Linked DNA regions of Xenopus tropicalis. The protein of the gene in region 1 purifies or fractionates together with the protein of each later gene. This does not show direct contact. Links are inferred from orthologs where the notes say so. Each region holds a gene or a part of one and is shown on either strand. Other genes may lie near its edges. The genes, in order: cyld, spata2l and spata2.

What was found.
Region 2: the proteins of cyld (region 1) and spata2l purify together in Homo sapiens (affinity purification with mass spectrometry; 3 studies listed by BioGRID and IntAct, with this or other methods). This does not show direct contact. The link is inferred for Xenopus tropicalis from reciprocal best matches to the Homo sapiens genes CYLD and SPATA2L.
Region 3: the proteins of cyld (region 1) and spata2 purify together in Homo sapiens (affinity purification with western blotting; 10 studies listed by BioGRID and IntAct, with this or other methods). This does not show direct contact. The link is inferred for Xenopus tropicalis from reciprocal best matches to the Homo sapiens genes CYLD and SPATA2.

The regions. Positions count from the first base shown.
Region 1 is NC_030680.2:51,226,959-51,230,615, reverse strand, and holds part of cyld (ubiquitin carboxyl-terminal hydrolase CYLD), read left to right. Parts: intron 1-836; coding exon 837-1,139; intron 1,140-3,243; coding exon 3,244-3,349; intron 3,350-3,657. UniProt on the Homo sapiens protein: Deubiquitinase that specifically cleaves 'Lys-63'- and linear 'Met-1'-linked polyubiquitin chains and is involved in NF-kappa-B activation and TNF-alpha-induced necroptosis.
Region 2 is NC_030680.2:59,167,419-59,170,069, forward strand, and holds part of spata2l (spermatogenesis-associated protein 2-like protein), read right to left. Parts: intron 1,272-2,651; 5' UTR 1,271-1,271; coding exon 977-1,270; intron 1-976.
Region 3 is NC_030686.2:36,155,115-36,159,134, forward strand, and holds the end of spata2 (spermatogenesis-associated protein 2), read right to left. Parts: coding exon 3,540-4,020; 3' UTR 575-3,539; downstream 1-574.

The DNA.
Region 1 (3,657 bases):
ACAAATAATACATAATTATTATGTATTATGTCATAATAAGTTTTTCAGAATGGTTAGGAAGATTTATTTTCTAAAAGTAAATAACATTTTCTAAAATAAAGCCTAAGGAAACAGAGGCATTAAAATTGCCTTGGAGAGACAGATCTGGCCCATTAGTCTCTAGACCTACACTAGACCTATCCTGTGTGCTTTCATTTAAAAAATAATTTATTCAGACATGTTTATACACTTTGTCCCAATTGTTTCAGTGTAATTTCATTCGTTCAGGTTATTTTTGCCAGGGTTTGGTAAGCAGTTGTGGTTTCTTCTGTCCCAGTTGTTTGTGCCCTACAAGTTTCTTGCTTCTAATTTAAAGTCCCCATGCAGTGTCTGCTAAGTATACTGAAATATTACCAGATCATTGGAAACTTAAAGGAAATGTAACACTAAATTTTTTTAAGTAAAAAAGCTATTCTACCCTGCACCAATAACTATCCTGCAAACCACTTAGTATTTTAAATGTTTTAATAGAAAATACCTGCTAAAACTTGGCTTCCTGTCAATTGCACTACGGCGATAAAGGAAGGAGCCACATCCACTATGCGACGATCGATTGATCAAGCCTAGCTTGACTCCTTCCTATACAGAAAGAAGGCTAGGCTCGATTAATCGATCGTCGCATAGTGATTGCTGCTCCTTCCTTCGCCATATCGCCGTATTTCAATCGACAGGAAGCTAAAAATTTTAGTGTTACTTTTCCTTTAACTTGGATACCAACTTTATATTTCTGCATGTAAAATAAATGTTAAACGTCAAATTTTGGGAAAATTACAGATTTATTATTATTTTTTTTTTAGGAAGATGGACGGGGCCAAGGTTTTACAGAGGGCTCCTACCAGGGCAAGCAACATTTCAGATGCGATGAAGAATGTGGAGTGTTTGTAGCTGTAGACAAGTTAGAGCTATGTGAGGATGACGATGAGGACATTGAGAGTGATTATGCATCTCCTGCAGACAACAGTCAGTCAGAGATCCCTCCCCTAGAGATCAATTCCAGAGTGTCTTTAAAGATTGGGGAGGGTATGGAGTTTGGAACTGTTATATTTTGTGATGTTCTGCCTGGAAAAGAAAGTCTTGGATACTTTGTTGGAGTTGACATGGTAAGACATGCATTACTTTTTATACAGGGGAAAAATGTATACTGGCATTTTCAGTACAGACTGTATAAGCATAATGCATGATTTGAAAATATGATCATTTTTTATAAGATTTGGGTCCCTAAAAAGATATTACTGTGGGATTCTCTAAATGGTTTTCATGCTACAATTTGAAAGGCTTTTTTGGCACTGCAGAGTGTAATTTAAAGGGCCAGTTACACCTTTTCAAACATTCCTGCCTATGAAGTTTAGGGCAGTGCTTCAGAGAATAGATGTGGGCATTATGTTTTCTACTAAAAACACAGAACAGAAATGGTTGTTACTTAAAATGGTATTAAATCATTACTATTCTCAATTTAATCCCTTAAGAAGTAAATATAGAAGCTTTAAGAACCACCCTATGAGGCTTAATTCAGAGGTAAAGAAGTTAGTAGGGAAAAAAAGGAAGTTGTTTAACAAATACAAGAGTCAGAGTCAGAGAGGACAGAAGCTGCATTTAATTAATATAAACACTATAACAAGTGTTGTAAAACAGCACTCCGGAAGTCAAAGATAGAAAATGAGAAGTGCATTGTGGCAGAGGCCAAAACTAACCCTAAAAAGTTTTTTAAGTATAAAGATGCCGGTTGAGAATGTGGCCCCATTGAATTATGTTAACAAATAGTTACAATGGATACAGAAAAAACAGTTCTTTTTTTATTGTATACAGTAGAGGAGCCAGAGTGCCTAGACCCACCCAATAGCTGCATTGTTGGCTTAGCTCAAACTAGTCAGTGCTTGATGCAGGAGATGGTGCATAAAGGTTTACTCAAAATGAATGTGAACAAGGCACCAGGGCCAGATGGAATACATCCTTTGGTACTGAGAGAGCTAGGATCAGTTTTACAGTGGCCTTTGTTTCTGAAATTGTCAGACTCACTTTTTTTTCTGGCATAGTACCTATGGATTGGAGGAAAGCTGATGTCATATATTTAAAAAGGGATTATATTCTCAGCCCGGCAATTATAGGCCAGTAAATTTGACATCCGTGATGGGCAAGTTGTTTGAAGGTTTGTTAAGGGATCACATACAAATTGTGTTCTGGAGAATTTGAGCAGTAATCAGCATGGCTTTATGAAGGACAGGTCATGTCAGACCAATTTGATTGCTTTCTATGATTAAGTTAGTAAGAAGCTGGACAGTGGGGATGCAGTAGATGTGATCTATTTGGATTTTGCTAAAGCATTTGATACTGTGCCCCTCAAACGTCTGCTTTTTAAACTACGGTCTGTTGGTCTTATGAAGTCGTTTGCACATGGATAGAAAACTGGCTACAGGATCGGGTACAGAGGGTGGTTGTTAATGTTACATTCTCTACTTGGAGTAAGGCTCTCAGAGGGGTTCCTCAGGGTTCTGTACTTGGGCCACTTTTGTTTAACTTGTTCATTAATGATTACAGGTATTATAAGTAATGTATCAGTGTTTGTAGATGACACAAAACCTCTGCAGCCCAGTCAATTCTATCCAGGATGTGGCATGCTTGCAGCAGGATCTTGACAAACTGGCAATCTAGGTAGCTAAGTGGCAGATGAGATTTAATGTGGATAAATGTAAGGTCATGCACCTGGGATGTAAAAATATGCAAGCCACTTATACCCTTAATGGAACCACACGTGGCAAATCCATAATGGAGAAGGACCTTGGAGTAGATAATAAACTTGGCTGTAGCAAGAAAGCAGTCAGCAGCTTCAAGGGCAAACAAAGTTCTTAACTGTATTAAAAGGATTTGCAGGAGGAGGGGGTTATTCTTCCACTTTAACAGAGCGCTGGTAAGGCCCCATCTAGTATATGCTATCACTTTTGGATCTGCTAATGCCTTACAGATAAGGATCAGATCATGATATCTGTCTTGATAGACTAGTTATATTATGGGACTACAGGATGTTTGTTCAACATATGCTTGGGTGCTTAGGTGCTTAAATAACACCAAAATGCCTAACCATATGGTTGGTATTGGCAGCTTTAGTTACCTGGTATCTGTCAAGAAAGCAATGTGCAGCTAGTATTGTACGTAACAATTTGCTGCTCTTCTAATATGTGTTTTGTACTGCAATCTGTATATTTTTAGGACAACCCTATAGGAAACTGGGATGGAAGATACAATGGAATTCAACTCTGTAGCTTTGCAAGTGTTGAGAGCACCCTTCTTCTCCATATTAATGATATAATTCCAGGTGCGAATGCTCTGCATATGTCAACTCTATGCTTTTCCTTTTAACATTGTTTTGAGGGGTATAAGGGTTTATTCTCTTATTGTAAGTTGTGGCTGCACAAAGTTTGCTGCCATTGTTGCTTAAAAATTACATTGAATAAAGGTATTTACATTCAAAGTCACTTCTTGCACTTACATATAGTGCTCGGCTATAGTAGCATTATATTGTCCATTGATGCAGGGGGACCCTGGACCAAAGTTCCCATAGCCACTTGCATCAATAAACATAGTCAAAAGAATAAGGCTCGTGTCATTTTGAGGGTGAGCACT
Region 2 (2,651 bases), about 7.9 Mb from region 1:
CTGGAAGAGACTAACCTTTCCAATATTGTTTAAAAAGTAACAACCAGAGTTCAGCAAATGCTGCTTTCAACAGTTTAGGGCTGACTGAAGAAAACAGAGCAGTCTCTGCCACTCTCATTCCCATTACAGAACTACAGGTACCCTTGGGCTAGGGGCAGCATGGGGGAATTTATAAATAGAAAGAAGTTGAGACCTAAACTCCACAGTAATACGGACACATTCCTACGGAATTTTTAAAGGCACATGTTAGTATTGCTTTAAAGGGAAACGAAAGGCAAAATCACTTGGGGGTGCCAAAATGTTAGGCACCCCCAAGTGACTTTAACCGCTTACCTCGTACCCCAGGCTGGTGCCCCTGTTAGGAGAAAACAGCACCAGCCCGGGGCACCTGGAGCGGATCGCTTCCTTCTTCCGTTGCTGGAATGCCAGCGGTGGGCGCATGCGCAGTAGAGTGAAAAGCCGACTGTTTAAGTTCGGCTTTTCACTCTACTGCGCATGCGCGCGCAGCGAATCAGGAAGAAGCAAGCGCCGGCAGCTACCCCGGGCTGGTGCTGTTCCCTCTTCACAGGGGCACCAGCCCGGGGTAAAAGGTAGGTGGTCAAAGTCACTTGGGGGTGCCTAACATTTTGGCACCGCCAAGTGACTTTGACTTTCTTTTTCCTTTAAATAGTGAAGGAGTCAAAACAGGCCCTGGCATTCCAAGTACACAGAGGCCCAAACAGCTCCACCCCCCCCCCCCCCACCAGCTCATTAAATAGTGACTGTCTATGGCATCTTACAGCAGCCCCTCTGGCATTTGCTAGAACCCACAGGTTGCCAGTTGCACTTCTATAACAGTGAAACCGACAGTTCTGCCACATTCATATCAAGTGCATTGTGATATAGATGTTGGTGGCAGGTGGCCATGGCAACCATATGGCATGCAAAAATCACAAAAATGAGGTTCTAGCACAAAATAGAAATGAAAGAGTCTCACTTTTATGGTATGAAACTCTCTCCTCCATGGTGTAAAATAAAGATGCAGACAGGCCTGTTCAAGTAAACTGAAGGCATTGGCAAGATCCTGTAAAGCTGAACGCAACCCCTTTTTCTGTCGTATGTTGCAAGCAATCAAAGAAAAGGCATCACTTCGAAGAGCACCGTGTAACTCTGGCTCCTCCAGCAAACGATCCCTGAGTAGGCCTGTAATACTGCATAGTGTAGTTACTCCACCTTCACAGGAAGCAAGCAGCCAGTTCTGGTACTGTGTTAGGAGACTGTCCTCATCCATCCTGAAAATGGAGTAGTATAGCAAATGTTAAACCAATATAATATTTTTTCTATTGTGACTTTGTTTTCCCTTAGCAGAAACGTGGAAATGTTATATGTGCTTCAACTCACAGAAATAAGAAACTTTATTAATATTATGAATTTAAAATTCTATACAGTTTCTAAAATAAATAACACTTTACTATCCTCCTCTCAGCAATCTATACCTACATGCAGCTTTGTGACAGAGTCTATTTTTTTTTGAAAGACAGCTCTTTATAAACACTGGGCAGTAACCCATGGCAACCAATCAGATGTTTGTTTTTATTGCTCAACTTGCTACATTCATTGTTTTAACTGCAGTGCTTTTAGAAGACCTCAATTGCTCTAACTGAGGTAAGGGACTTGTTTGTAACTGGCTTGAAACTGATTGACACTGGTTTAAATATGGTTTAAACACACCAACAGGGGTGTAACTACAGAGGAAGCTGACCCTGATTGCAGGGGGCCCAGGAGCAGGGTCGGACTGGCAGGTGCAAGGCCCACTTGGGCTAGGCCTTCACACACCATAAGGGGCCCCACCACCCGAGGTTTTTTCCCAGTGCCCAGTTCGCCCAGTCTGACCCTGCCACAGAGTGTAAGGGGCCCAAATAAGCCTCTAATTGGTACGAAATTCCAATATATCTTGGTAGAAAAGGTCAACTTGCCAATTGTATTTGCTGTTGGACCCAGTAACATGTAGTTACGCCACTTCATACAAACAGACAGGGCCCCCTTCAGAAATCACAGGGCCCCTCACAACAAAATTTTCAGGGCCCTCCTCTTCCTCCCACGCCCTGCCCCCTAATGGCCCCTCCCCCAGTGACCCCTCCCATCAGTACAAAGGACACACAAACATTGGTAGCCAGTGCCCCTAAAACATTGGTAGCCAGGGCCCCCCTAATACATTGGTGCCCAGCAGCAGTGCCCCCCTAGTACATTGGTGCCAAGGGCAGTACCCCCCTAGTACATTGATGCCCAGCAGCAGTGCCCCCCTAGTACATTGGTGCCCAGCAGCAGTGCCTCCCTCGTACATTGGTGCCAAGAGCAGCGCCCCCCTAGTACATTGGTGCCCACCAGCAGTGCCCCCCTAGTACATTGGTGCCCAGCAGCAGTGCCCCCATAAGTCAGTGTGCCCCGCAGCCCCCCTAATACGTTGGTGCCCAGCAGCAGTGCCCCCCTAATACATTGCTGCCCAGCAGCAGTGCCCCCCTAGTACACTGGTGCCCAGCAGCAGTGCCCCCATAAGTCAGTGTGCCCCGCAGCCCCCCTAATATGTTGGTGCCCAGCAGCAGTGCCCCCCTAGTACATTGGTGCCAAGCAGCAGTGCCCCCCTAGTACATTGGTGCCCAGCAGCAGTGCCC
Region 3 (4,020 bases), on another chromosome or scaffold:
AAAGGGTATCCAAAGCTATATTGCTTCCCCATATTAGAGCAATTTAAAACTTGAATTATGACAGGTGCCAATTTACTGTATAATGTATGGTTAATGTGTCACTTATCACTAAAGGACGGCCCGGCTAAGTTGCACTTTAATGGTATCTGACAAATCATGACCTGTGGCCTATGAGCCAAAGAGTTATTGGGGCGAACATAAAAGTGCAGGCCTTATAAAGGTTCATGTAAAGATCACATGATGCAACTTGAATTCAGTCCTGATACAAACACTTGGCTGTGATCGCCCTCTAGTGACCAAATAGGAAAACCACTAGTTTCCAGGGTTGCCCAGTTGTTAGCCATTTGCCCCATCACTAGGCAGCACTTTATATGTGGCACCTTGCGGCCATGTTGGGTTAGAGCTGTAACTGGATATTCTCATCCTATAAATGAGACGTTAAGGGTGTATATGTAGAATCCCTGTAGTAAAAATGAAGTAGCAGGAAATACCCAACTCCAGCCCACCCCCCATGTAAGAACATGGCACAGTTTAGGGGTCATTTAAAGCAAATGAGAAGCAAAGGCAGAACACACAGGCTTGAAATAAGTTTATATTTTAGACTTTGTTGTTTGATCTGTTGACACAGCAACCTCATACATCAAAATATACACAAAAAAAATAGCATGTTATTGTCACTCAGAAGTCAACACAGTTTGTACTACTATTATAGATGGCTATGTACAAGGGACTCCCTATCTCAAGCAAAACAGGGTCCCTCCAAGGTTACTGTACAGGTTACGTGGCATTACGGAGTATTTCGGATTACTGTAGTGCTGTTAATTACCTATAGATGGATATAGGACTCGCAAAACCAGAATGTAAATAGTGGACCAGCATACAGGCAATACATCAGAAAAAAAAAAAAATGATTAAAAGAACACCAAAATGATCACTGTACATTTATATATTTGTTTTCCTTCTCCACTATTTATATACATATTATCTACATTTATTAAAGAAACAGCAAAATGCCTCTCCAGAGCTGCCAATGCAACGTGAGAAAGAGCCAATATCGAAAGTGTGCATTAAGGATTATGTGCTCCGTAAGGGTCCATCATTTGCGCTCAAGCTTCGCAACGTCATAACATTAATATGCGATAGTGTAACATCATGGTGAAAGCTTGAATACCAGGAAAATGGCACTTACACAACCCCCAGTTAGCTGCCCGGGCACGAGCCACATTATAGTCATTTCAAACTGCAGTAATTAGAACAGTCCCACCCTCTCACACGGTGATACATATATTGCTTCTCTGAGATTCACATTGCGGGGTACTATGCACAAAGGAAGAGGTGCAGACTGTGGCGGAGCAGCTGAGCGCTTGGGTCGGGGCATTCAAGACACAAAATGACTTAAGGTTTAGGGATTTCAGTCTCCAAAAATGAGGGTCGTCTGCAAAGTGAAACTCCAGGGTCTCATAATTAAAATAAAAACCCAGAAACACCGGTATAAACTTATAAGGCTCATGGCCCAGACGCGTGACTTTCACACGGTTGAAAACGCACCCAAAACGGTCACAATGCTTTCCATTGACTTGAATGGGATGTGGCCAATAGCGACTATTGGTGCCTTTTCCTGCTTTGGGTCAGTAGAAAAGAACCCAGCAAAGCTGACTTTGTATGCAATACCCCCAAAGTCATGGATTTGCCCATTTTGTGCCACACAGCGGGCAGGAGGAATATATTCAGGCACAAAACACATATACAGATTTAGGGAACAAGCCTTATCATTCGGCGGCCATTGATATATAAGCGAGACAGTGAAATGACTGCATATAAGAACTGATGCCATCCTTGGCCAATAAGCCATTTCATCTGGCCCCATCAATTCCTGGAGCCTCATCAGATATCAAAAGATGAAGTGGTCCCATACACAGGCCAATGGGCTGCATAATTAGCCAGGAAAGACCCAATATCTGCCTGTGTATGGGCACAGAAAGAATGTGTCAATAAGCGCTTACATATTGTATAGTGAAATGGTTCCAGGCTATAAAGTAAAGCCTGCCAGAGTGTATTTGATATCTGTCATAAAACGTGACAGGACAGTTATGGCTTATATTGTCAGTACTGTGTATAACCTGCAGAACTGCTGTATTGATTCCCAGCAACCACTGGCTAACATTTATGCCCCCCATCATCCCCTACTGCGTACTCCCATGATAACATGTGAGGCTCTGCATGACTTTGGCCCTCCCTACTATAGGTCATTTTAGAAAAGGTGGTTTACTGCCTCTTTAAAATGAAAGGTTTTGGCTGACCACATCATCAATGATAGCAGGCTGTGCCCAAAATGATGCCAGACTATGCCCTCAGTCACTGAGGCTTCCGCTCATTGCAAAGACTGATGGGCAATAAATAAGATTGTGTAATAAAGAACCATCGGCTTCAGGATGACTTCATATGTTCATATATTCATATTTCCCTTATATGGGTATGAAAGTGCAACAGGATAAACGAGAACAAATGAGGCTAATTTAAAATTAGAACATTTTTTATGAACACGCTATACTGGCATACAGATATATATACTGCCCCTTAAAAGACCCAGAACAGTCACACATAAGCTATACCATGCACAGTACAATTATCATGCCACCCTGCAGAGCTGTGCTCACCTACATGGCATAGGGTGCTGAGCCGTGCTTATGGCACCTAGCTGGGCTCAAACATCAGGCGCACTCAGCAAATTCCCACTCATCACACACAGATCATAACTTCATGAAAAAAAACAAAGAAATGATCCAAACAATTCAGTCAGCAGCCTGAAAATATCCAGATATTCTTGCCACTAACAATTCTGGTAGGGCTGTGGGCCAAAAATACAGCGCTGATTTATAGACCAATCAAAGAGCTTTAAGCCCTATATACATAGGAAACACTAAATACAGGAACAGGCTACAACTTCCAAATTAATGGCCTGAATAACCACCACCTAATTACCCGACTTGCAGGTTATTTTTTGCATGCAAAACCAGATACCAGTTAACTAAGAAAACCTGATTATGGTCATTAAGGAATGAATCTTGATTTTCTGCCTAAATATTTGTGGAAATCTTAGGGTAGATGGGTTTAAATAGGCAAGTGTGACAAAACGTTGGCATCTTAATGGCAAATCTCCAAGTGCTTAACAAGAGTAGAGGCCTACAGCAAACGGCTGAAGGTGAGACAAAAAAAAAAAAGTACATGAACAATACCAAGCGTAACCATACTTTTTTTTTTTTCATTTTAGATTTTTTTTTTCAGGAAAATGCTCTCATTAATTTGGTTCCTTCTGGAAATGCACTTAAGATTTACAGCAAAACCACAAAGGATTTTATTGCACCAAATTGTAGCAGCGAGAACCAGAATTATCCACAGTATTTCCGACATCACCAAAACTAAAAACACAAAAAAACAAAACACTGATTTCTCCTCCCTGAACAGACAAGTCCAGTGTATTCCTGTTCCAGAGGCTTGGCAAGTCCAGTTAGCCCTTATTCAGCAAAAGGTTGCAAAGTCTATCTTAAAACAAGATGGGGCAGTTGGGATGACTTATAGTTCAGCTGATTGTTGGGTGCAAACTTGTGAAAATCGCTTTTCCGGCAGCAATATTCCCGACAGTAAGCAGTGATGCAATTGTTGCACGAGACTTTGGAGCAGACTGTGCAAGTGTTGGAGGCCCCCTGCCTGTTGCAAAACCCACAGCGCAGAGTGGACGAAGGCTTCATTTTTGGATTTTGCTGAGAAGCCCTCTCTTGGGATGATAAGCCGTATGAAGACTTCTCGCGCAGGACGGGCCCGGAAGAGTAACTGTCATTTTGACCCGTGGTTTTAATGGACAGGCTACTTTGCTTGTGTGATGGGACATCCGGTCTAAAGATGAGCACATTATCACACTTTTGGCACACAGGGCCACCACACGATACTCCGCAGCTTTGGCACTTCATGAAAGCGGTCTCTTTGGCTAAATGCGAACGCTTGTGATATAGTGGATTCATT